3 linked regions of the Alligator mississippiensis genome follow. The protein of the gene in region 2 purifies or fractionates together with the protein of the main gene of each other region. This does not show direct contact. Links are inferred from orthologs where the notes say so. Each region holds a gene or a part of one and is shown on either strand. Other genes may lie near its edges. The genes, in order: CD81, GNB1 and PFDN5.

Region 1 (7,482 bases), on a different chromosome or scaffold from region 2:
GCATGGGGTATGGTGTAGGGGAAGAATGGAACCATGCAATTAGCCCATAAAGCAAGGACCACAGGAATCTGGTGTTCATTTGAGAGAACAATTTAGGATGCCCTGGTGCAGCCTCCCTCATATAAAAGTAAAAGACATCAAGGTGTGGTGGGTGGCTGAAGGGGTGATGATTGCCCACAGAAAGTGAGGGCTAAAGGGACTCCAGGGGCTTCATGGCCATCCCAGGAAAGGCACCTCATCACAATGAGCAAATAATACATTTTACATGGCAAGAAAAAAAGGATTAAAACTTGGTTTCAGGCAAACATTTGTGAAATTTTACAGTATTTATTTTGCTTGAGTGTTGCTTTTCTTCATAGGCAATGTGTAGGGGAGGCACAGGGTGGGGGGCACATGCCCCCCTGAGATTGGCCCTTGCCAGCCAGGGAGTGTGGGTGCCAAGAGAAGCACTAGCTGGTGCCCACCCTGAGTTTGCGGCCGGCCAGGGAGTGGGGGTGCTGAGAGAAGCACCGGTGGCATTTTTTAGGTTTTGCTGTGGGTGCTTCCAGGGTCAGCCACTGGGGGACCCCCTCTTTACCCAGTCAGTGATCAGCTGCTGGGGGATCCCACCCCCTGGTCACTGGCGCTCCTCCAGACTCAGGAGCCACCAGTCACCCATGGTTTTTTTCTTTCCTCATGTGCTAAAACATCAAACTGCCTTATCTGCACATCAGAAAGCAACTCACACAAAGGAACTCTCATGGACCCAGAGAAACATGCATCCACTTTTAGCTTCTTCTGTGCAAAATTAAGTTTATTTTTTACCTCAGGGGACTTTTTACCTTCTTTAATTTTCCCCCAGCCTGAGGAAGGGCACAAAGCTGGCAAAGAAAGATAATTTTTTGTGATTTCTTAGTTTGTCTAATAAAAGGTATCATCTCTGAACCAAGAGTTCTAGAATTTTGCATTTCTTTTTATCTCAGACAAACACGGCTACCAAATACATCTCTGAAATTCATGCACACCTGACATGCATTTCTTTGGTGGACATCTTAAAATTCAGAACCCGTAAACACTTGTATACTTTAGTTTGCCATCATAAACAAGGCCACTGTTTCAGTGCTGCTGTTCATGGTAAGAAAGTTATATACAGGCAGAAGTGTTGGCAAGATCAGGGCTTCCTACAAGGTGCAGGACTTAGATGAGGGGCAAAAAAATAATTTACAAATGCTTTTCCAAATCTGCAACTGCTGGATAGAATCTGAATCCAAGCTGGTTATGCAAAATTGAGTGCAGCCCTAAACATTACAGAATACAATGGCAAATAGGTCCTCTGTTGTTGAATTCAGTGGAGACAGATACTTGATCCAGTGAAACAAGGGTTCTCAACCTTTTTAAGATCCAAGGCACCTCTGGTTAGACTCGAGGCATCCCTCAAAAATGCACTCTCTTAACTTTCAGTTGTTTTTTGACTATGGGAAAATAACTAGAGCAATTTTATTGCAAAGAACCCAGAAAAAACACAACAGGTCAGAATGTTTTTGACACAATGGTTTCCTCTTTGAAATCTCTGGGATTATCTATGAATCGTGCATGGGTGTTTGCATATTGCAGCATCCTTAAAATGATCTAGCACAGAGGTAGGCAAAATGTGGCCCGTGGGCCAGATCCATCTCATCAGCTGATCGGATCCAGCCAAAAGGTGGGCACCCACCAGTTGATTGCATTTGGCTCGCAGCTGCCTCCGCAGTGTTCTGCATGGTGCCAAGCCCTGTCTACTCCCACTTGGGGCAGCCTGCATTGCATTTCTGCCCATGCCCATCCATGGCCCTGGCTCGTCAGTGCACACAGCTTCCTAGCAGGGCTGCTCCCTGAGTGGCTGCAGCTGCGCGGGTACTGCTCAGATCCCTATGCCTCCAGTGGCTTCTTCTCCTCCTGCTGCAGCGCTCTGGGCAGCAGGTAGCATGGGGAAGGAGGGTGGCTGTGCTGGGTGGAGACACGTGCTGGGCACCACATGCCCAGCCAAGTGGGGGGAAGCTGCAGTCGGGCAGCTCCTGCCCCAGCATATGGGGCTCCAACTCCTGGCCGCCTTCCACCCACTCGGCCACCTATAGGTGGCTGCTTATCCTGCCAGGTGAGGTGAGTGGGTGGAAGGCAGCTAGGAGCTGGAGCCCTGTGCGCTGGGGCAAGAGATGCCTGGCTGCAGCTTTGCCACTGTCTGGCTGGGTATGTGGTTCCCAACATGTGTCCCCACACTTACCATAGCCGCTTCTCTGCATTACTTGCTGCCTGGAGCAGTGCCACAAGGGCAGGAGGAGAAGCCACTGGGGCTACGGGGGGCACTGAGCAGTACCTGGGTAGCTGCAGGCACATCAGGAGCAGCCCTGCTGGAAAGCTGTGCGTGCTGGCCAGAACTGGGGCTGTCAACAGGTACAGGAAGGAGTGCAGCATAGGCTGCCCTGGGCAGGAGCGAGCAGGGCTTGGCTTCATAAGGAGCACAGCTGGGGCATCCATGGGCTGGATGGGAGGGGTGGAGATCACCCCTGCACTACACAACCCAGGTAAGCTCTATTGAATGTACCCCCTGCTCCCCACTCCCTTCATCCCCCCACTTCTGGCTGGCTCCTGGGACTTAATGTGCAGGCAGCCTCTCCCCCCCACGCACGTGAGCACCCCCCACCATACAATATACAAAAGTAAGACTTTATTTTGAACTATTATGCAATTGTTTCTATATACACTACTCAAAAATACATAAATCAGGACAAAACATATTTTTTGAAATAAAATGTGTTATGATAGATGTGTGATTTTTAGTATCTGATTTAATTTTTTTAATTTTTTTTACTTATAAAACTTATTGAAACGCGATCGCCCAAAATATTTTGTGTGTGGCCCTGGATGGTTTACCAGAACTCGTTAGGTGGCCTGCCAGCTGAAATAATTGCCCACCCCGATCTAGCAGCAGCCAAGATGCCATGGCATCCTGGTTGAGAACCATCAGAACATCAAGCAGTTAGTGTGCTAAAGATGGTATCTTTTATTAGACCAACTAAGTTGCAAAAAAAAAAAAAAAAATCTAGTTGGTCTAATAAAAGATATTGCCTCTAGCACACTGACTGCTTGTTTTTGTACACCAACGCGGCTACAACCTATTGTGCGGGCCGGGAGCGGTCTGAGACCCTTGGGGGCACGCGGTGGGCTGTGGCCAGCAGCCTGGCATGTGGGTCGGGGAATGCAGGCCGGCGGACTAGAATTAGGCAAGGACGTGTAGCGGTTGATTAAAGATTATTTTACTTACACCGTAGATGGTTGCGGTGCAGGCAGGAGAAAACTTCGCTTAAGTTGCAGTTACAAAACTCGTACGAACAAGACCCGTAGACAAACTCGAGCCTCTTGAAATAACTCGGAAAGAGCTCTGGATACACACACGCAAAGTTTTCTAGGCTCCGTGGAACGAGCGCACAGGGAAGGGTACATCGAGGGATTAGGCGGTGACAGGGGGAGGCTAGAGATTGATCAGGCCCCTATATCCTTCTTAAGGCACACGCTGGGTTTGTTAGGCTCTGCAGCGCTTAGAGTTCTTCACAAGATGTGAACTCGTCCTCATCCTCCTCCAGATGGTTGTGAAGTCCTCCAACTTGGGCAGAAACCGCTCAAGCCACGTAGGAATAATTTAGAAACAGCCAATAGTGGGGAACAAATTTGCATGCAGGTGGCAGGAACTCCTTTGCACCGGGGTTTTCTCTTTGCAACTGAGAATTGCACCCTGCAAAGAAAGCTCCTCGTGGCGGGAAATAATTCTGCAGTGCTGAAGCACACACAAAATCATACCCTTGGGTTATGACACCTGTATCCACCAGAGCCTCAATATTTTGCTTTTTTCTGTAGTTGCTTATAGTCTGAGGGGTCTTTTGGCGGAGACTATTTTTCCATAAGCCTTCGTGGCTCATATTTGCTGGGTGACTGGAAAAAAGCAAGTGCTGTCTGGATGGTAGCTCCTCTCCCTTTCTGTGTTTGTGGGGTATGGATCAGAAAATACTTTTTTTTTTTTTTTTAAAACATATAGATAGATACAGCATCTAGGATAAGCTTTTCTTCACACACCTTAAACCATATTTAAAGCCTAGCACCTGTTACAATAAACACACCCACACACAGTCCTTTCCCTAATCCAGTTGCAGTCTCTTAGTCCTAGCCTCAATTTTGCGGTTTACAGTCTCAGTTCATTCACTGTCGTTGTCACTGCTGCTGTTCTATGGATGAGGACAGATGCACAGGCTGCAGAGAAATGAGGGGTAGATACCCCCAGGAGGCGGTAGCTTCCCTTTTAAGATGGCCTGTGCTTGGGTGGGCGGATTGCAGGGTGGGGGTGTCTCACAAGCAGGAGGAGCCAGAGAAGCAGTCCAGTTTTCTGCTTATGTTGTGCTTCAGCTCGAGGAAGAGAAGCTGTGATCAGGCTCTGCAAGAGCAGCAGCTCCATCTCACGCTCTGATTTATCAGGCCACAGCGTCCAGGCAGCTTTGCTTGCAGAAATTTTCAGCCATGGGAGTGGAAGGCTGTACCAAGTGCATCAAATATCTGCTGTTTGTCTTCAATTTTATCTTCTGGGTGAGTGCATTTGCTTGGGGTGCAGTTTTGCATGTGATTTAATGGCTGGGGAAAACGAAAAGGGAGTGGGGGTGGGGGGGGGGTAGAGAAGGAAAGGAAGGTGAATGTTATGTTTCAGCTTGCTCTCTCCTGCTCCTGGCTGGTGTCAGATTGCCACCAAAATAATGCAGCAGGCTCAGAAAGGAGCTGACTTTCCCATCCTCTGCAGGAGAGAGGCACAGAGCTTTCTTCTTTTTCCCTAGCAGCTCTGGGGGATGAGACCTGGGGAGGGAACAGCAGCAACCTTTAAGTGGAGAAGATGGAGGGGGGAGGGAAGATTGGCTCACCCCAAAAATGGGTGTTGCATTGATAACAGAGCCTAGCTTGCTCAGAAAACCAAAGCTGGGAACTATCTCTTCCCATCCCCCTCCCCAAAACCACTGCTACAATAATTGATTACAATAATTGAGTCAATTTGTACCACCCCCCTCTTTCTTTTGAAATGGCAAATGTGTTTGGTTTGCTGCGTGTGCAGATGGTCTTCAAACTTAATAAACCACCTGTGAGCTGCACTGGGAAAAAACAATGCTTGGGAGACAGCCTACTTGTTTGTCTGCTAGGTTGATGGGGCATGCCTCTGTGTTCAGTATACAGGTCTGCAGCCATATAATAATCGAGATTTAAGACACTTGGAAAGGTTTTATTTTTTTTAGCTCTGTGGTATGTGTTTTGGTTTTGTTTGTGCCTCCCCTTGGGTTCTAACTGATTGAAAGTTGAGACTCATTAATTGCCAAAATATATGAAAATGTAATGGAGGCCAGGGCTTTGGAGTTGAAAGTTGATCTTTCCTGGTCTTTCTGTCATGTCAAGAGAAAATGAGAACTGTGTCCTTTAAAGAGAAAATGCCAACTGTGTTCTACGTATACAGGCTTTTATATTCAAGGCCACTTGATTTTTGCCAAACTTTTTTAATACAGGCAGCAAATTTGGATCTGGACAATGCATGTAAATGGCTCGAAGTGATGAGAAATGGAGCTCCTAAAAATATGTTTAACCAGTGGTAGGATTGTTCTGTGTTTTGAAAGATGGGTGGAGTGAGAGATTGCAGCCTCTACATGGGAAGTGACAGTCTGTTGCTGTGGTTGAGGTTGCTATAGCTTGCTGCTTTGGAGATGTCGTTCTTGGAGGCTCTCAGATGTCACCCTTTCCTGCCGTCTGCCTCTTATGTGGAGAACAGTTTTCAGCCTGGAGGGTGGGGGTTAAAACTTGCTTGGTGGCTAAAGTAGGCGGATGATGGTGTCTCAAAAGAATTGGCCACTCCGAGCTACTTCCCACACTCCTCCCACCTATCCCTCCCTCCCTGCCTGGAGAATTTTGCAGGGACCACACCCCACTGCTCAGAAAAAGTCTTTGCCTCATCTGCAGGTTCAAGAGGGGTTTGGGTTTGTTGGGTTTTTAAGTCATATTCTGTAGTCAGTGCAAGTTGGGAAATATTCTTTCCTACTATTTGGAAACAAGCTGTCTTCCCTGTGTCTGTCCAGAAAGGGCATCCCAGAGGGCTCCAGCAATTAGGGGGGAGAATAGTCAATATACACAGCTTTGTTAATTCAGCAATTGGTCACATCCTTGCATTTCTCATGTGCGAACGTTTATAGATATGTAACCAGGATAAGTGTTACTGCCTAACTTATGATGAGCCACCCCCGCTTCTGGGAGAAATAATAGGAATTGGGGGTGGGGGGGAGAATGTCTTTTGTTCAATTTAGCTGTTTATTTTTCATATGTTTTTCCTCCCCCTGAGATTGCTGGGGAAGCTCTTGTAGCTAGCTATCATTACTGAAAAACAGTGGAAGCTGTTGCGGTCTTGTTGTAGGTTGGCAGTTCAGATAACACACAATTCTTGCACCTTTGCCAGAATGAGATAGTTGCTTAATACTTTCTTGACTGTGGCCCCTGGTTTTAGAGTTAATGTTTTCCGAATGTTTATGAACACATGGCTATGTCTGACCCTTCAGTCTACTTTTTAATCTGAGGTCACAGCACATCTGGGTGCTGATCGGACACTGCAGAGTGGCACCATTTGAGAGATGCAGTTTTACATTAGTTAGCAGGGTGATTTAAAAAAAAAACAAACCCAAAAAAATACCCTGTGGATTCCCATTTTCACTGAGTTCTGCAACAGTGTTCCTTATTAGCAACTAGAAAGAGCAGTGGTGATGATGACTACAGAGGGGAGCTCAAGGAAGGGGAAACCTGGTAAAGAAACTTAAAAAATCCCAAATGACTTGGGGCTTTCTCACTTAAAAGGCACCATTCATAAAGGCGCTCTATTTACATGACCAAGTCCCCACCCAGGCCAAGGAGCAATGATTATCAGACAATGCACCACTAACTGATTTGCTAGGTATGTAAACAGGAGATGCCTTATCACCCAAAGCCTGATTGTTTATTTGCTGGGAATTTCCTATTTGTTCTGTTACTTTCTTAGTCTTTAATCCTTCCCCTCATGCTGAGAAGCGGCAGTCTTTCTATAATATTGTGCATATCAATAACATCTCCACCAAAAAAATCTTGGAGGATTTGCTAGCGTGGGATTATGAAGATGTACTGTGCCCCCGGCAATGCAGTCATTGGCCCTGTTTTATGAGTGGGCAAAGTGACATCCAGGGATGCTTTTTGTCATTGGTCAAACTAGGAGTAAAACCTTGGTCTGTCAGATACTTTAACTGTAAGACTACCTTCCTGGGGCTTTATATTCAGTACACCTGTTGAATCAATTGGGGTGTTCCTGAACCCAGTTTGGATTCAGGCTGAACTGGGAGCACCCTTGCTGCTCTGTGTATTTTCTCCAATATCATCTCCCTGTGGAAACCTAAACCAGAATCATGCAACGGTCCAGATTTATTCCTGGCA
Region 2 (7,697 bases):
TTTTTAAAGGTATTTGCTATCCCATACTTACTGTAGTTTAAAATAATTGTATTTAGATGTTATATGACTCTAAAAATGGGTACAAGTTAAACATGGGTGAATTAGAGTATTTTCTGTGTAATCTGAGCAGCAGAAAGAGTAGAAGTTTGTCAGAAAGATTAGTAAGAGAATTTGAATGTATAGTTAATCACAAAGCAGAATGACAAGCACAATAGTAGTGATAGAAATGAATGTTGTTTTTGTAATATTTCTGTTGTGGCAGTGGCAGAGCATTGGCAGGACCCTTGTCTCTCCAGCTTTTGCTTGTGCCATGTTATTAAAAGGTCTTGGCATCTTGTAGATGGTTCTAATTATTTGTGAGGGCTTAAAGTGGCAATTTTGGGGATTCCTTAGGTTAACAGTAGCCTACTAATGGAGGGGATTAGACTCGATGCCCTAGGAGGCACCTTTTAGCCCTCTGTTCCTAGTATGACAATGCTCAAAAGCAGTTGGGCTTGAGACCCATTGTGATATGGTCTGTAACGATACAGGTAAAAGTTAACCTCTGCCTTCACTGGCTTTCAGAATCCAGGGAACATCCAGATTTGGGAGCAATGGGAGGATTCTGAAACTGGAACGTAGCAGTTGAGCTGCAGCAACATGAAGCTCAGTGCAGGCTGCAATATGCACCCAAGAAGAAAGGTAAAACAGCTCATGCTTTTGCAGCTAGATTGCTACCGGTACTTGAGCCAGCTAGTTTAAAGCTAACTCAGGTATGTGTACACTACATTGCTAATACTGCTGTGATTTACACCTTTATGGGCTAGTAGTATAACCATTTTACAGATGGGATGATTGCTCCACAGATTGGTAAAAGGCATGAAACCAAGCAGCAGTTCCTCCTGCTGCACCTCTACCAAATGTACACAAAAGGGAGGTGGTGATGTTTAAGCCAGGTTTTCTGGGAAGGGTGGAAGAGATGCAAGATATGCAGTGGATCTAAAGTGAATGTTGATACTGCACAGATATTATTAATCCTCAGCCACCTCCATTTGTATGTGCCAACAGCAATCACATGCACGCAAGAGTGAGAGTGGAGCCCGAGGGCTGAAAACTAGAACACAGCTTTCAGTGTGTTGTGTTTGTGTGGAATCACAGACTGGCTTGATTTAAAGGGATGCTCTCTAAACCAGGAGTACCTGAAGTTGCCTGTTGAACAATTGTTCCCTACTTGGTAACATTTCATAGTGATACCACAGTATGTTGAATATTCCTCATTTTAACAACTAGCTTCTTTGTATTCTACACAAAAGGCTTGTATATTTCCTATGCAATTGAAACGAGAGTTTTTTACTGCTTTCCTAGTGATATGTAGTGTGTTGTACACACAGGTCCTGGGTGAGAGTTCAACCTGCAAAACTCCAGCTCCCTAAAATAACAGCATCCTGGAATGAGAGAAAAGACAAACTCAGGCTAGGATAACTCAAGGTCTTGTAATCATGTTTTAAAGACTGTTGAAATGAACATAGAGCAGCAGACCAGCCCCAAGATCCAGCTGGTTCAGTTTCCCTTGTCCATCAGCGGATTATACCAAATGACTCAAGGAAAGGGGCAAGACATTACATACTCGGGAATGATGAAAACAACTGCTTGCAGCAAAATCTGCTCTTTAGCTCTAGGTAGCTAGGGAATAGATACACTTGGGAATATTAGAAAAAACTTTTCACTAGTGATCTGGGATTCCCACCACTGTTTCTGCTGAAGTGGACCTAACATTTCTGAGAGTGCAAGTTTAGAGAACGTTATGTTGGTTTCTGTCAGGGCATTAAACTTACCAGCTGTCTGCACTATATCTCATTTACATCAGTTGTTGCAGACACTACAGGTTGGACTGATAGACAGAATTAAATATTTAATTTTGTCATCAGACAGCTTAAACTTTGTTTCAGATCTTGATATGTTCATGTTGCCTTGGAGCTACAACAATCCTCTTCTGCTAATTAGGATACACAAGCATTTATGCTGTTGCCAAACGGAGGTCAGGCAAACACCTTTGCTTCCAAGACGGCACTCCATGTGGACACCAAAGTGAAACAATGGTTTTCAGACAAAATATAATTTACTAGTAGCATCCACATTCTTTCAGGAGGCTTCTAAAATGCAAAAGAATTGTCTAATCAGACAATAAAATTAGCACTTGTTTTTTATTGGAGGATGGGTCATAAGTAAACCAGGAACTACTCTAAAAGTTGTATTTTAAATATCTGCTTTGGAAGCAAAAAATAACTGTGACTGGGCATGTACAAGCATAGAGTTCCTCTTCAATCCTCTTAGCCAATCTCCATAAATTGAAAGAGGTTACAGAGCACAGGCACAAGTCTTCAGTCTTCATATAATACAGGGAAGGATACACGTTATAGAAACTCCTGGCTGAAAACAAGATGAACTCCAAAAGTCATTTCTTGTAAAAGGTACAAGAGCAGAATTCCTGTCCATTTTCCTTTACCAACAGTATGTAAGAACAAATTAGACATAAACACCAAGGGAAGGTCATGGGTACAAGTGGGATCTGGTCTCACATGTAGTTGAAATGATGAGAAAGAAGTGGGCGCTGGTTTATTAACGTCTGGTTGCAAAAAACATTTGATGAGATATAGCTTTATGTCCATTCATGTATGGAAGGAGATGAAACCCAGCCCCCAGGGAAAAACACTCTCAGAAGACTTAGGGAAATAAAAGCATCTTTCAAAAGCTTGGAACCTTATTTAAGGCCAATGCAGATATCTTTTTTTGCATTTTAAATCTGCCAAGGTACTTCTGTCAGTCAGAATGAAAATGGTAAAACCTGTTTTAACAATCAAGCTGATGACATTCTCTAAGAACTTTTCAGGCCTAATGGACTTTGCTTAATGGTACTAGTTTTTTTTCACTAGGTCACATATTTTAATGTATTTTGAATCCTGGGTAGTTTCTTTTTTTTCAACACAAATCTTAATACCTATCTATACTACAGAGCCCCAACCAAAGATGAAGCTGGGTCACTACAGGTTGTAGTGTCCAACCTGTAGTGTCTGCAACATGGTACTGGGTCACTACCCCAAATGACACAGGCTAAGATGACAAAGCACCCCCCTACCCAATTTTGTCGTCACAGCCGTCTCCACACCAGGGGTTTTACACTTCTAGCAGACAGGCTTTATTAACCTATTAACCTAAAAATTACAACTTAGTCTCAAGTAGTATATAACACACGCTACAACCACATTCAAAAGTATTTCGAAGCCTACCTATCTGAAATCCCACCGCTCAGAATAAGAGGCTGTTTCGACTGGAACATTGTAATAGCTATGTTTATAATTACACTCTTTTGTCTCCACAATACTTTAACAACATCCAGTAAAATGGACACGTCGCTTCTAAAGGCAAACTCTCATCTCTAGCATAGAGAGAAACAAGACATACACGAGCCAAAGGCCCCAGTCTTATGAACATTTACACGTGCCCAGGTTGAGACACAAATAGTTGTACTGCCTTCAATAGGATGAGTCCTGCCCATAAAGCTTAGCACATACACAAGTGTTTTGTTTGTAGACAAGTTTCCTTGGGTGAATTTGATATCCTTGCGTGAGACGACACAGAACAGATGGCAAGCGCAGGGATGGCAACGCACAGGTCCTGGTGCTCAGTGCTCGAGCCACTTGAGGAAGCTGCCTGGGGGAGGGGAGGTTGTTTGCCAATGCAAGGGCTGAGCGCTGAACTTTAAACACAGGATGTAGGACCGTTCAAACAACATCACAACTGTTGTAAAACAAACAGTAACAAAACATGGATACCCAAGTTCCTCCACAACAACCCACCGTCCCTACGGTGACTAGCTCACACCCTTTCTCGGTCTCATTTTAACCAACTCCACCCAATTTTGAGGTCACGCTCTTCTCTGTAAACCTAATTTTCCAGCCTGCCCCTTCTCAGGACGCTCATCATCTCTTTAAATTGTTTTTTCTGTGGAAGAAAAAGTGGGACGCTTACAAGAAGCCTCTCTTATTGAATAGTTTCAGTATTTTTCCTCATTGCTGTCGGTTCTGGCTTGGTTTTCCTTTCTAGCTCAGCCGGGCTGCGTTGCTCATCGTTAGGATTTTTAAAACCACTTCTTTCTATGGATTTTAAAGCTTTTTTTTTTTTTTTGGAAGGTGTTTCATCTCTTTGTAAACGGACTTCCTGGTCAGGCGGAGGCAGGATCCTCCCTTGCACACGCCGCCACTTAAGAAAGCACAAATACGGGTAAAGTGTGTGCGTGTGTGTTGCGGGGACACCGGCACCAGCACCTCTCTATTGCTTTTACAGGGAGGGCAGAGCGGGGCGGCCGCGGCCTGGCGTCACCTTCCCGCCGGCGGCGCGGTGCTGCCCTCAGCTCCGGCTCTCCGCGTGCTGCGGGGCAGGGCGAGGGGGTCCCGGCCCCCGGGCCGTCCCCTCAAGGACACCTCTGTCCCCGCGTCCGCACCCAACGCCCGCACCCGGGCCCGGCGCTGCGGAACAAAGGCGCGGCCCCTTCCCTTCCCTTCCCCTTCCCCTTCCCCTTCCGGCGGGGCGGGGCGGGGCGGGGCGGGCCGAGCGGGGTTTCCCGGCCGGGCCGTCACGGGCGGGGGGCGGAGGCGGGACCGCGCCCAGGCTCCGGCTCCCGATGGCTGCGGGGAGCTGAGCGGGACTGACTTGGAGCCGACGCCCGGGGACCCCTCGCGCCAGGCGGGCCCTTCTTCTCCTCCTCCCCCCTCAGCCGGAGCGGGCACCGCGGCCCCGGGGAGCAGGTACTGCCCGCCCTTCCTCCTCCTCCTCCTCCCCCCCTCACAGCCGGGGCTCCCATCCCCCCCGCCGCAGCACCCGGCCCGGCCCGGCCCGGCCCGGCCCGCGGCGGGAAGCGAGGCAGGCAGGGAGGGGCCCTGCCGTGTCTGGTGTCGGGGCGCCGGGGGCTTGGCGCGGCCGAGGTGAGTGCCGGGCCGGGCCGCGCCGGGCCGGGCGGGGCAGGAAACCCCGGCAACATCTGGGGCTCGCGGGGGCTCCACCGCCTGCAAGGGTGGGGGGGGTGCACATCTGGAGCTGGCCTTGTGCTGCATGTTTGTGCGAGCCTGAACCCGGAGCGTGCCCCATCATGGAGGATGTGCGCGCCCCGGCAGAACAAGGGAGCCGCTCGCTATTGAAATCCTGTGAAAAATAGATGTGGTTTTTCAAGCCTCGCTTGCTCCCGTACTGTTTTCAGCACCCCCCCCCCCTCCCCCTTTGCTCCTCATTCAAGGGGCTGCTTAGATTAGAAATCTGCTTTTTATTATCATTGCAAAACTGCCTCTCAAAACCTGAAAATGGGCGTAAGGCGCGCACAGGCAGAGGAGAGGAGAGGCAAGAATCAGTTGAAAAGGGGGGTGGGGGGGGAGGAAGAGAAATCTTGTCCAGCAGAATATAAGGATGATGTAGAGGTTATTCTACGGTGTCGATTTATCGTGTGTGAGGATCGGCTGAAATTTTAACGCGTGCAATTTTTCACGGTTCTCCAACCAAGTCCAGCTCTGGACTGGTTTTAAATAAAGCATCCTCGGGCGAATGCCGGCAGCCACGTTGGGAGGCATTGCCTGCTGCTGGGGGATACCGGCTCCAATTAAAAAAAGAAAAAAGCAGGGGGATGGGGGGGAGGGAAAAAAAAGCGAAGCTATATCATTAAAATGGTTTCTGAAGCAGCAGGCTGACCTCCAAAGGGAGGTGTTCGGAGACTGGCATTAAAATGAGATACCGTTAGGTGCAGAAATTACCAAACTGTAAGGGGGGGGGGGTGGGTATCCCACATTTTGAGGCTTGTCCTCTGAACACGGGGATGTGACAAGACAAAACGCGGTCGGTTTCTACGTGGGAAATGCAACTGAAAAAATAAGCTCCTACCCAGAGAGGTAAACTCTTTATAAGCGCTGTACATCAATCTCTTCCGATTCGGCGTGTTTTAGGGGGAGAGAAGGGGTGATAATAGTGCAGTTGTTTTGGTGGCTGCAGATTACCGAGGGTGTGTGTTTGATTTTCTTTTTGCTGTGAATGAATGGATCCTTCTGTGCCTGGGCCCAGTAACTGCAACAAGATGGCGTTTGCAGCAAGGCAGCTCTCTCATTTTCAACTCCTCCTCACCACAGCTTTGCCAAACTAGACACTATCCCTTAGTTGCATTTTAGATTTCTCTCTTTTTTTGTTTTTGTTTTTGTTTCCTTTCTCCTTTTTTGTAGTAGGAGGAAGGCTTGGGAGGTGGGGGGGGTGCAATAAAACAAATATATAGGTATTGCTTATTTTTAATTTTTTTTATAGCATTTCCCCCCAGTACAGGAGACTAGGTGGGAGGAGTAAATAGTTTTATTGAAATTTTCACATAGGCTGTGACTGGTTAAAGCAGTAACATGATGCCCAATGTCTGTTCATAATGGCATTTGGAAAAAAAAATTCTAGCTTATTTCAGCAACAAATTTTAACGAACACATATTTTTATATAATCCAGAATTGAGGTCTGTATGGAGAAAACCTGTATAAAAGGCTCTGTAGAACTGCATGTTTCCTACCATCCTAGTAATAATTAGACCCCCATGTAGACAGTCATATCTTTTTTTTTTTTTTTTTTTTTCTTATCATAGAAAGGAAGCGCCCTTCTGCTTCAGAGCCCTCCAATGATTTGTGGAACCTTTTAAAACTGCATTTGACCTGAAATTGTCAGTTTGCATAATTATTCTTTTATATTAGATGCGGGGGAGAAGAAATGAAAAGGCTATTTGCATATTAAAACCTTTTTCTGTGTTCCTTGCCCTATTTTAAAAATTACATCATACATTTATAAAATCTTTTAAAAAGTGGTTTTGTAGCACCTTAAAGTGTACATTTCTTAATCAAAGCCTATTAGGTTTCCTGGTTTATTAATTATAGAAAGCTAACGTTCCCTCCCTCCCCCCCCCCCCCAGTTTAGACACTTGATTAAAATAAACAATTCAGCTGATACTTGACAAAAACAGATTTACTTATCCTCAAGCATGTTCAAATGACTCTTAACAGTTCTAAAATATATGTCAAACTACACAAAATATTTGGCTGCTTTTTTGATGCTTTCTGAATTAAAATTTTCTCTCTCCTCTTAATAATGGTATGTGAATTCTGGTATTGCTGTGTGGATTTATTTTTGTATAATCCATCACTTGCCAGATGCTTTTATAGCTTAATTTTCCTAAGGCTATAGGAACCTTTTTATGATTGAAGTTTTTTTTCCCACTCTTTAATTTTTACAGGAAGTATATAAATCCCAAAATGCTTGTATTAAAGAAATTAACATTTCTCTAATTAGCTCAATAACTCATAGAGAACTTTTAAAAAATCTGTCAGCATAAAATTTCAGTTTAATTTTTTTGTTGTGTTCCACTGAATTTGAAACTAACAGTAGTATTAGTACTTGGTACTAATACTAGTACTTCAGATATGTTTTTAAGCTAAAAAAGAAATAAATGGGGGGAAAAAACATTTTAGTCTCCTGCATTGAGTGACTAAGGCAATATAAATTTATCTCTGCTTAGTAGTCCTTCCAGTTGCTAGGTTAGTTTGTAGCAAGCATCCTATCATGAAAACTTAGTTGGTACCTGAGGTTAGAAACCCAATATCAGTCCTGGTGGAGCAGTGCATTAGGACCTTTTTCCCCACTTTGAATATAATTG
Region 3 (7,859 bases), on a different chromosome or scaffold from region 2:
GTACATGTAAGTGGCCCAGGCTGCTGCACTCCTGCCCTGTCCCAAGTCCAAGGAGGGTGCAGGGAAGCAGCCCAGACCCCAGGTCTTAGTACTGTGGGACATTCCCTTGGCCTGGCCTTTCTGTCTGCCATGATGACATCTATGCTGCTGGTAGAGCCCTCTACAGTGGCAGAGCTGGTTACCAGCCAGGCCAGGGGCCTGTTGCTTTCTTGAGCTGCTCTGAGGTACAGGGTGGGATGCTGGAGCTGTGTGCCATCACAAATCAGCTTTTCCCCCACCAACCCCCATTGTTCTGCCATAGCTATGCTGGGCATGGGGCAGGTGCCCGCTTCCTGGATGGCCACTCGATCCTGAAGCTGGACTGTGCGGCTGTGACCCTGCTCTTTGGATGCAGCAGTGTCGCCCTGGCTGTACGTGGCAGCCTCGAAGGGTCTGGCATCGTCCTCAAGTACATCATGGCCGGGTGGTGAGTTCAAGCCCAGCACTGTATGGGCCATGGGGGTGGCGGGGCTCCTATGGCTGCTGGGCCCTGCAGTGGGGGCCAAACCCCTTCTGAGGCAGCTGCAGGTGAAGCTGAGGGTCTCCTTCCTGGTCCCTGCAGAGGCCTGGTCCTGAAGCATGAGATCTGCTTGCATCTTGCTTAGCTAACAGGGCTCTGAACCGAGCACCCTCCTTGTAAAGGCCCTGCCCCAGTGCATGCCCCCACCAGGGCAAACCCAAATCCGAGGCGCTCAAACTCCATGGCTGTCAGCCAGTTGCAGAGCTCCATCCCCTGCCCTGAGCTCACCCCCTGGCTTTTCCCTCCCCACAGTCCCCTGGTCCTGGGCAACCTCTGGGACGTCACCGACCGCGACATTGACCGCTACACGGAGGCGCTGCTCCAGAGCTGGCTGCGGGCAGGGCCAGGTGCCCCCCTCCTGGACCACGTCATCCAGGCCCGCCAAGCCCCACGCCTCAAGTACCTCATCGGTGCTGCCCCTGTGGCCTACGGCCTCCCTGTGTCTCTGCACTGAGGAGCCACAATTGGCTCTCTGGGGGTGCCCAGCTCAGTGCCTCAGCCCCATGTTCTTCCACAAAGCAGTTACCTGTAAAACCGCCTTGAAGCCAGACCTGCCTTGTGGCTTAAGTGCCTTGAACTCTGCAGCTGATCTTGGCCTCAGCTGACCCTAGGGGAAGGTCCCAGCTGGAGCCTGGGGAGGGGACCTTTAGCCCTGCAGCTTTTGCACAAGGGCTGATTTGTGGGGATCCTGTCCCTGGAATCTGCATTCCTAAAATTTTAACTTATTTTAATTAAACCCCAGTTTTCATCTGTCACAATCTGGTGTATGTTGCACTTTGTACCATTGAAATAAAGCTGTAGAGTCTTGCTCGGCCTGCACGGATTTCCTAGGCCTCAGTTCACAAGGGCAGTTGGCACTTATTCCTTGTCTGGCACTGCCCGGCTTCTCTGCCCTGAAATTTCACCTAAATAAGAACTTGGCACTGCCACTGCCCATCTCTTCTGGGCAGGCTGGGGCCCTGGCTGTGGGTACCAATGTCAACAGGCCTCCTGCCTAGGCAGCTGCATTGGTCTAAAGCAGTGCTTCTCAACTTCCTTCATAGCAGGACCCATTGGTTTAGTGCCCCTTGCTCATGACCTTCAGCCCCTCCCAACGGGGGGTGGGGAGAAGGGGTGGCAGCAGCCCCTTGCAGGCTGGAACTCTGCCAGCCTGCAGGGGGAAAACTGCAGTTTCCCATGGTTTCTTTTTTCTTCTTTAAAAATAGATTCTCCTTTAAAAAGTTTGTTCATGACCCTTTCATATATTCTTGCGACCCACTTTTGGGTCACAACCTGCAAGTTCAGATATGCTAACCTAAAGTGTGCTTGCCGTTTCTTTTGGAGGGCGGGCGGTGGGAGGGGGAAGTGCATGGCTCTAGGATGCTGCAGTCACTGCTCATGGGGTATAAGTGTGGATGCTTGGTTCACTGGTGCTGCTCTTGCGCTGGATTTGGGTCCAGGCCTGAGGTAGAGCACTAATAGTTGTCACCCCTCAGTGTCTTTGCTAGTGGCTGTGTCCTGGAATTGTAGAAAATGTGGGTTGGGAGGGACCTCGGGAGGTTGCATTAAGTTCAACTACCTGTGCGAAGCTTAGCAGTAATGCCAGCTAAGGGGGTGTTCCCAGGACAGTTATACCAGCCCCAACCCTTCCACAAGGGCTGGGCTCATGCTATTGGTGAGGGCAGCCAGGGGCACCCTATTTATAACCGAGCGTAGCTTGACTGGTTGGAGCAGGGCTCGCGTGATCTGGGGTTTTGTCACCTGCCAGTGAGCTGTCACTGTGCCTCTCTGAATCAGTTTTTCTGCAGCTAGTCTGTATGGTGCAGCTCGGCCCTGCTTCAAACCTGGCGAAGTCCTTTCTTTCGGAGCCGTGCAAATCCAACCTGCTGAGGCTGTATTGCTCCCTGATTCCCTTTGTACCCTCTAGTGCTTGTTGATATGCCAGGTCTCTTTACAACCAGTACAGGGATTTGGATAGCTCCTTCTGTCCAGGGCCCTGGTGTGTCATTCCCTTAACCATAGCCTGAATGCTGGGAGGCTGCAGCAGTGAAGGCAAAAGATATAGACTTCACCCTGATGTCAAACTTGATAAAGAGTCAGCCCAGCTCTGCACAACCCACTGCCATGGTGATGATGCACTAGAGCACCTGGCTGTTACCAGACCTAAGGAAATGTTCTTCTCCTTTCCTAGCACTGGCAGGAAGGGTGCTGATGCCTCTGCCTCTTCCAGCACAGCAGGGCTCTGGGGTGTGAAAATGTTGTGCAGGGACCTCAGCCCTTGCTCTCAGGCATTCATTTTTTGCCTTGTGATTAGCATGTGTTTCATAGTTTCTAGGGTTGGAAGGGACCTGAACCCATCATCAAGTCTGACCCGCTGCCCTGGGCAGGAATGAGTTCTGGGATCATAATACCTCAGACAGAAATCTATCCAACCTCCTCCTGAAGATCCCCAACGTAGGGGAGAGCACCACCTCCCTTGGGGCCCGATTCCAGAGCCTGGCAGCCTTAACTGTAAAGTAATGCTTCCTGCTATCAAACCTGAACTGTTTCTATTTGCATATACCTATTCTCCACTTTGGGACTAAATCTCCAGGGTTGGAGGGTCTGAGGGGAGCAGGGGCCATGGATGTTTGCTCGGTCTTGGGTCTAGTGAGCAGAAGAGCTGGGCACTCTTCCCCTTTAGCAAGACTTTTGAGGTTTGTTTAGGCAGGCTTTTGATGCCATTTCCTGTACCATTCTTGCTACCAAGCTAATGAAGTATGAGTTGAATGATTGGACTATAAGAGGGATAAAAAACTGGCTGGAGTTCATAGAATCATAGAAGTCGGGTAGGAAAGGACCTTGCAGATCCTAGGCCTCCTGCCTTGGCAGGAAAAAAACTGGGCTCAAATGACCCCGGCCAGGTAGGCATCAAGCCTCCTCTTAAAGACCCCCAGGGTAGGAGCCAGCACCACGTCCCTTGGAAGTTGGTTCCCGATCCTAGCTGCCCTGACCGTGAAGTAGTTCTTACAGATGTCTAATCTAAACCTACTCTCCAACAACTTGTGGCCGTTTTTCCTTGTTATTCTGGGGGGCGCTGGGGGAAACATGGTCTCCCCTAAACCCTTCTGGTCCCCCCTAGTGAGTTTATAGATGGGCACCAGGTCCCCCCTCAGCCTTCTCTTGTGAAGGCTGAACAGGTTCAGGTCCCGTAGCCTCTCCTCGTAGGGCCTGCCCTGCTGTCCCCGGATCGTGCGGGTGGCCCTCCTCTGGACCCTCTCAATGTTGTCCACATCCCTCTTGAAGTGGGGTGCCCAGAACTCGACACAGTACCAGTTGTTGGGTTCAGGTTAATAATCAGTGGCTTAACGGCTAGCCGCTAGCCGGTGTCAAGTGGACCGTCCTCATGAGGCCAGTTTTGTTCAATATCCTCATCAGCAGTCTGGAAGATGGCACCGAGCGCGCCCTCAGCAAGTTTGCAAATGACACCAGGCTGCAGGGAGAGGTAGATACGCTGGAGGGTTGGGCCAGGATTCAGAGAGACCTCAAAAGATTGGAGGATTGGGCCGAAAGCAATCTCATGAGGGTCAACAAGGACAAGTGCAAAGTCCTGCACTTAGAACAGAGCAATCCCATGCACCGGTGCAGGTGGGGGGCTGACTGGGTGGGCAGCAGCTCTGCAGAAAAGGAGCTGGGGGTGAAGCTGAAAGTGCCCTTGTTGCCCTGGGCTGCACTGGTAGGAGTGCTGCCAGGAGGTCCAGGGAAGTGAGTAATCATTCCCACCCTCATGGGCTCTAAATCTATGCCCCACGCGCGCCCCTTAATTTGCATACGTAGCTATACCTCATGTGCATCCCCTCATTTGCATATGCAGCTACATCCATGTGCGCCCATTGATTTGCATAAGTAAATATATCCCACGTGCCTACCCCGTCGTTTGCATAGGCAAATATATCCCACGTGCAACCCATCATTTGCATATGCAAATGTTCCTCTTAAAGCCTGGCCCGCCCGGGCTTTCCTTGCACTTCCCTGTCCCCGTCTGGAGCATCACCGCCCCCCCCCCAGCAATGGCGGCCGGAAGTTGGAAAATAAGTCCCCCACGAAGCGAGGAAAAGGAGGGCGGAAGTTGAGAAAAAGGTCCCACCCCTTCGCATACCAATAGCGGCCGGAAGGAAGCACGGCCGCCGCCGCTCTTCCCAGGGCTAACCATAGAGAGGAGCGCGACGGGAGGGGCGGGGCACACCATCGAGCTCGGCGGCCGCGGGCCAGAGCGGCGCCGTGCCCCCCCCCCTCCACCAAGATGGCGCAGGTGAACATGGCGGAGCTGTCGCTGCCGCAGCTCGAGGTGGTCAAGAGCCAGCTGGACCAGGTCGGCCCGGGCAGGCCCCGCCCCCGGGAGGGGGGCATTAACCCCTTCAGCACCCCGCTCTGCTGCCCCCCCCCCCCGTTAACGCCTTGTGGACAGGCCTGGGTCCCTACGCCCCCCTCCAGGGTCTGATCCTCCCATGCACTGATGCAGACCTACCTCCCCCCATTAACCCCTTGTGGGCAGTGCTGGGTCCCTGACCCCCCCCCGTCTGACCCCTCCATGCACTGATGCAGACCCCCCCATTAACCCCTTGTGAACAGTGCTGGGTCCCTCCCCCCCCAGTCTGACCCCTCCATGCACTGATGCAGACTCCCCCATTAACCCCTTGTGAACAGTGCTGGGTCCCTCCCCCCCCCAGTCTGACCCCTCCATGCACTGATGCAGACCTCCCCCCCATTAACCCCCTGTGGGCAGTGTTGGGTCCCTCCCCCCCCCAGTCTGACCCCTCCATGCACTGATGCAGACCTCCCCCCCATTAACCCCCTGTGGGCAGTGTTGGGCCCTCCCCTGCCCCTATCATCCCCCCCGGGGTCTTTCCCCTGCCCCGGGGTCCCGGGAGGGCTGTCCCCTCGGCTGCCGGCCCGTGCGCGGGGGGCTGATCTCCCGGCTGTGCGGCCCCCGCAGGAGGTGGAGTTCCTGTCCACGTCCATTGCTCAGCTCAAGGTGGTGCAGAACAAGTACGTGGAAGCCAAGGACTGTCTCAACGTGCTCAACAAAAGCAACGAAGGCGAGTGCCCCCGGCCTTCCCCCGCCCCCCCGGAGGAGGCGCTGTCATGCCGGTGCCCCTGGGCAAAGCAGCACTGGGCCCAGCCCCACCCGGTTTGGCCCCACGCGCCTTCCTGGGCTTGCTGCCACCTGGAGCCGTCTTCCCTCGCACCCAGATCCCCAGGGGAGGGCGTCTGCCTGGCAGCCGGGACTCCCGGGTTCTTTCCCTGCCTCTGCCGCTGCTGCGCTGATTCACAGCCCAGGGCAGGGCAGTCTCCGCTCAGGTTCCCCGTGGCCTTGGGCTTTGCTTACACGGCTCCAGGCCCTTGCTCCACGTCCTTCCCCTGCAGAGCTGCAGGTGTCCCAGCCCCGCAGGGCCCCGTGTGTCCTGCTGCTGGTTGCCAGCCCCCCCCAGTGCTGCAAGGGGGGTTGGTAATTAAAAGCACTGACATTTGCTTTGCCTCCACAGGGAAAGAGCTGCTGGTCCCACTTACCAGCTCGGTATCCTCCAGCCGGCGTGTGCAGCCTGTACTGATCTACCCCTTAACCCTTCAGGCCCCAGGAAGCAGCCTGCTCAGCCCTCCAGGGGGCTTTATTAGCAGGGGTCACACTGGTGGCTGGGGCACTGGCTGAGACAGTTAGAGCGGGTCACTTCCTCGCATCCAGTGTGGTTAGGCAGTGAGCTCCTGGGGCAGCTATGCTCTCACTCGGTGTGTGGCACCCAGCACAGCAGGCTGAGCCAGGGCAGGGCCTTAGGGCCGTAACACAACTCACCTGGCCCCCAGAGTTCAGCTGGTAGCCCCCAGTATAACTGTGCTGCTCTTATACAGCCCCCCCCCCCCCCCCCCCACCTGGGCTTTCCTTAACCCCATCAGATGTATGTGCCGGGGAAGCTCTCAGATGTCAACCACGTCCTCATCGACGTGGGGACTGGCTACTACGTAGAAAAGGTGAGAGGGGCTCTGGGCTGGGAGGGGGTCATACCTGCCCAGGAAACTCTGTTTAATCCCTCCCCAACCCATCTCTGTGCAAAGTCCAGCTGCTTCACAAGTGACTGGCCATGTCCCTGGTAGGATCCAGGTCTGGGGGATTCCAGGGTCTCCTAATCCAACCGCCTGCACAGATGCAGGGTTCACTGATAGCACCTGGCTACCTGGGTGGCCCAGTGTTTGCCATGTTACATGCCTAGAAGTGGGGATCTCGCAACCTCTTCCCTTTTGCAGTCGGCTGACAATGCCCGGGATTTCTTCAAGCGGAAGATCGATTTCCTGACGAAGCAGATGGAGAAGATCCAGCCGGCGCTGCAGGAGAAGCACACCATGAAGCAAGGTAGGCATGGGCAGCCCAGGTCTGGCACCAGGGCCTTGTCCACAGTTGATGCCAGCTCTGCTCACCATGCACCTTTCCCCCTTGCAGTTGTGGCAGAGGTTTTGAGCCAGAAGATCCAGCAGCTCGCAGCCGTGGGAGCCTCACAGGCAGCCACCACCAAGGCATAGCCCTCAGCCGTGGCCTGCGCTAGCCCTCAGCCTCGCCTGGGGACATTGCAGTCAGGCAGAAGCCAAGAAGCTGCTGGGGACGGAGCTATGGAGCCCCTGCCCCCTGCGGGAGGCCGTGCAGATTCTGTCCTGTCACATATGTGCCGTGTCCACCCAGGGGACCCCCCCCTCCTTTTTTTTATATGTTGCACATGCTGTTGGTGTCTGGGAGAAATAAAGAATGGAGAACCAGCGTTGTCTGTGTCCATGAGCTTTTTGTTGGGAGGCAGAGGGGGCTGGAAAAGGCAGGGATAAGGAGAAGCTGTTCCCAGGCTAGTGGGACAGTAGGTTGGTGTTGGGGGTGGAGGTGGGGACATGGGTCTCTACTTGGAGCTGGGACACAGGTGAGGGGCCAGCGCTGCGGTTGCCACAGGGCAGAGCTCTGCTTCCAGGCTCCTGCACCCTTTCGGGGGGGAAATGGGAAACCCATTGAGCTGTGGCAGGAGTAGCCCTGAGGGTGGGCAGCTCTGGAAGGGAGCCAGGCCCTGGTACCCCCTTTCCCCTCCACTAGGAGCAGGGTCCAAGCCCAGGGCTCTGATGAGCAGTGCCTATGCTCCCCTGCTTCAAGAAGCAGCTGGAGTCAGGCACTGGCTAGAGGCCACAGGAGAGGGGCAGGATGATCCCTGCCAGTCTTTGAGCAGCATGTAAAGCTTCAGCACCACATCCTCCCCAGACTGGGGGACACTCCTAGGGAGCGGGAGAATGGGGGTCCCTGCAGCTCCTTTGAAGG

Evidence for each region.
Region 1: the proteins of GNB1 (region 2) and CD81 purify together in Homo sapiens (co-immunoprecipitation; 4 studies listed by BioGRID and IntAct, with this or other methods). This does not show direct contact. The link is inferred for Alligator mississippiensis from reciprocal best matches to the Homo sapiens genes GNB1 and CD81.
Region 3: the proteins of GNB1 (region 2) and PFDN5 purify together in Homo sapiens (co-immunoprecipitation; 3 studies listed by BioGRID and IntAct, with this or other methods). This does not show direct contact. The link is inferred for Alligator mississippiensis from reciprocal best matches to the Homo sapiens genes GNB1 and PFDN5.

What each region holds. Positions count from the first base shown.
Region 1 is NC_081825.1:188,706,230-188,713,711, forward strand, and holds the start of CD81 (CD81 antigen), read left to right. Parts: upstream 1-4,383; 5' UTR 4,384-4,524; coding exon 4,525-4,590; intron 4,591-7,482. UniProt on the Homo sapiens protein: Structural component of specialized membrane microdomains known as tetraspanin-enriched microdomains (TERMs), which act as platforms for receptor clustering and signaling.
Region 2 is NC_081836.1:13,022,500-13,030,196, reverse strand, and holds the start of GNB1 (guanine nucleotide-binding protein G(I)/G(S)/G(T) subunit beta-1), read left to right. Parts: upstream 1-4,620; 5' UTR 4,621-4,784; intron 4,785-7,697. UniProt on the Homo sapiens protein: Guanine nucleotide-binding proteins (G proteins) are involved as a modulator or transducer in various transmembrane signaling systems.
Region 3 is NC_081838.1:9,180,623-9,188,481, reverse strand, and holds PFDN5 (prefoldin subunit 5), read left to right. Parts: upstream 1-4,782; 5' UTR 4,783-4,820; coding exon 4,821-4,889; intron 4,890-5,513; coding exon 5,514-5,616; intron 5,617-6,063; coding exon 6,064-6,095; intron 6,096-6,469; coding exon 6,470-6,544; intron 6,545-6,817; coding exon 6,818-6,923; intron 6,924-7,010; coding exon 7,011-7,090; 3' UTR 7,091-7,323; downstream 7,324-7,859. Other genes in the region: ESPL1 (separin), read left to right, coding at 1-6, 302-466, 812-1,013. UniProt on the Homo sapiens protein: Binds specifically to cytosolic chaperonin (c-CPN) and transfers target proteins to it. Binds to nascent polypeptide chain and promotes folding in an environment in which there are many competing pathways for nonnative proteins.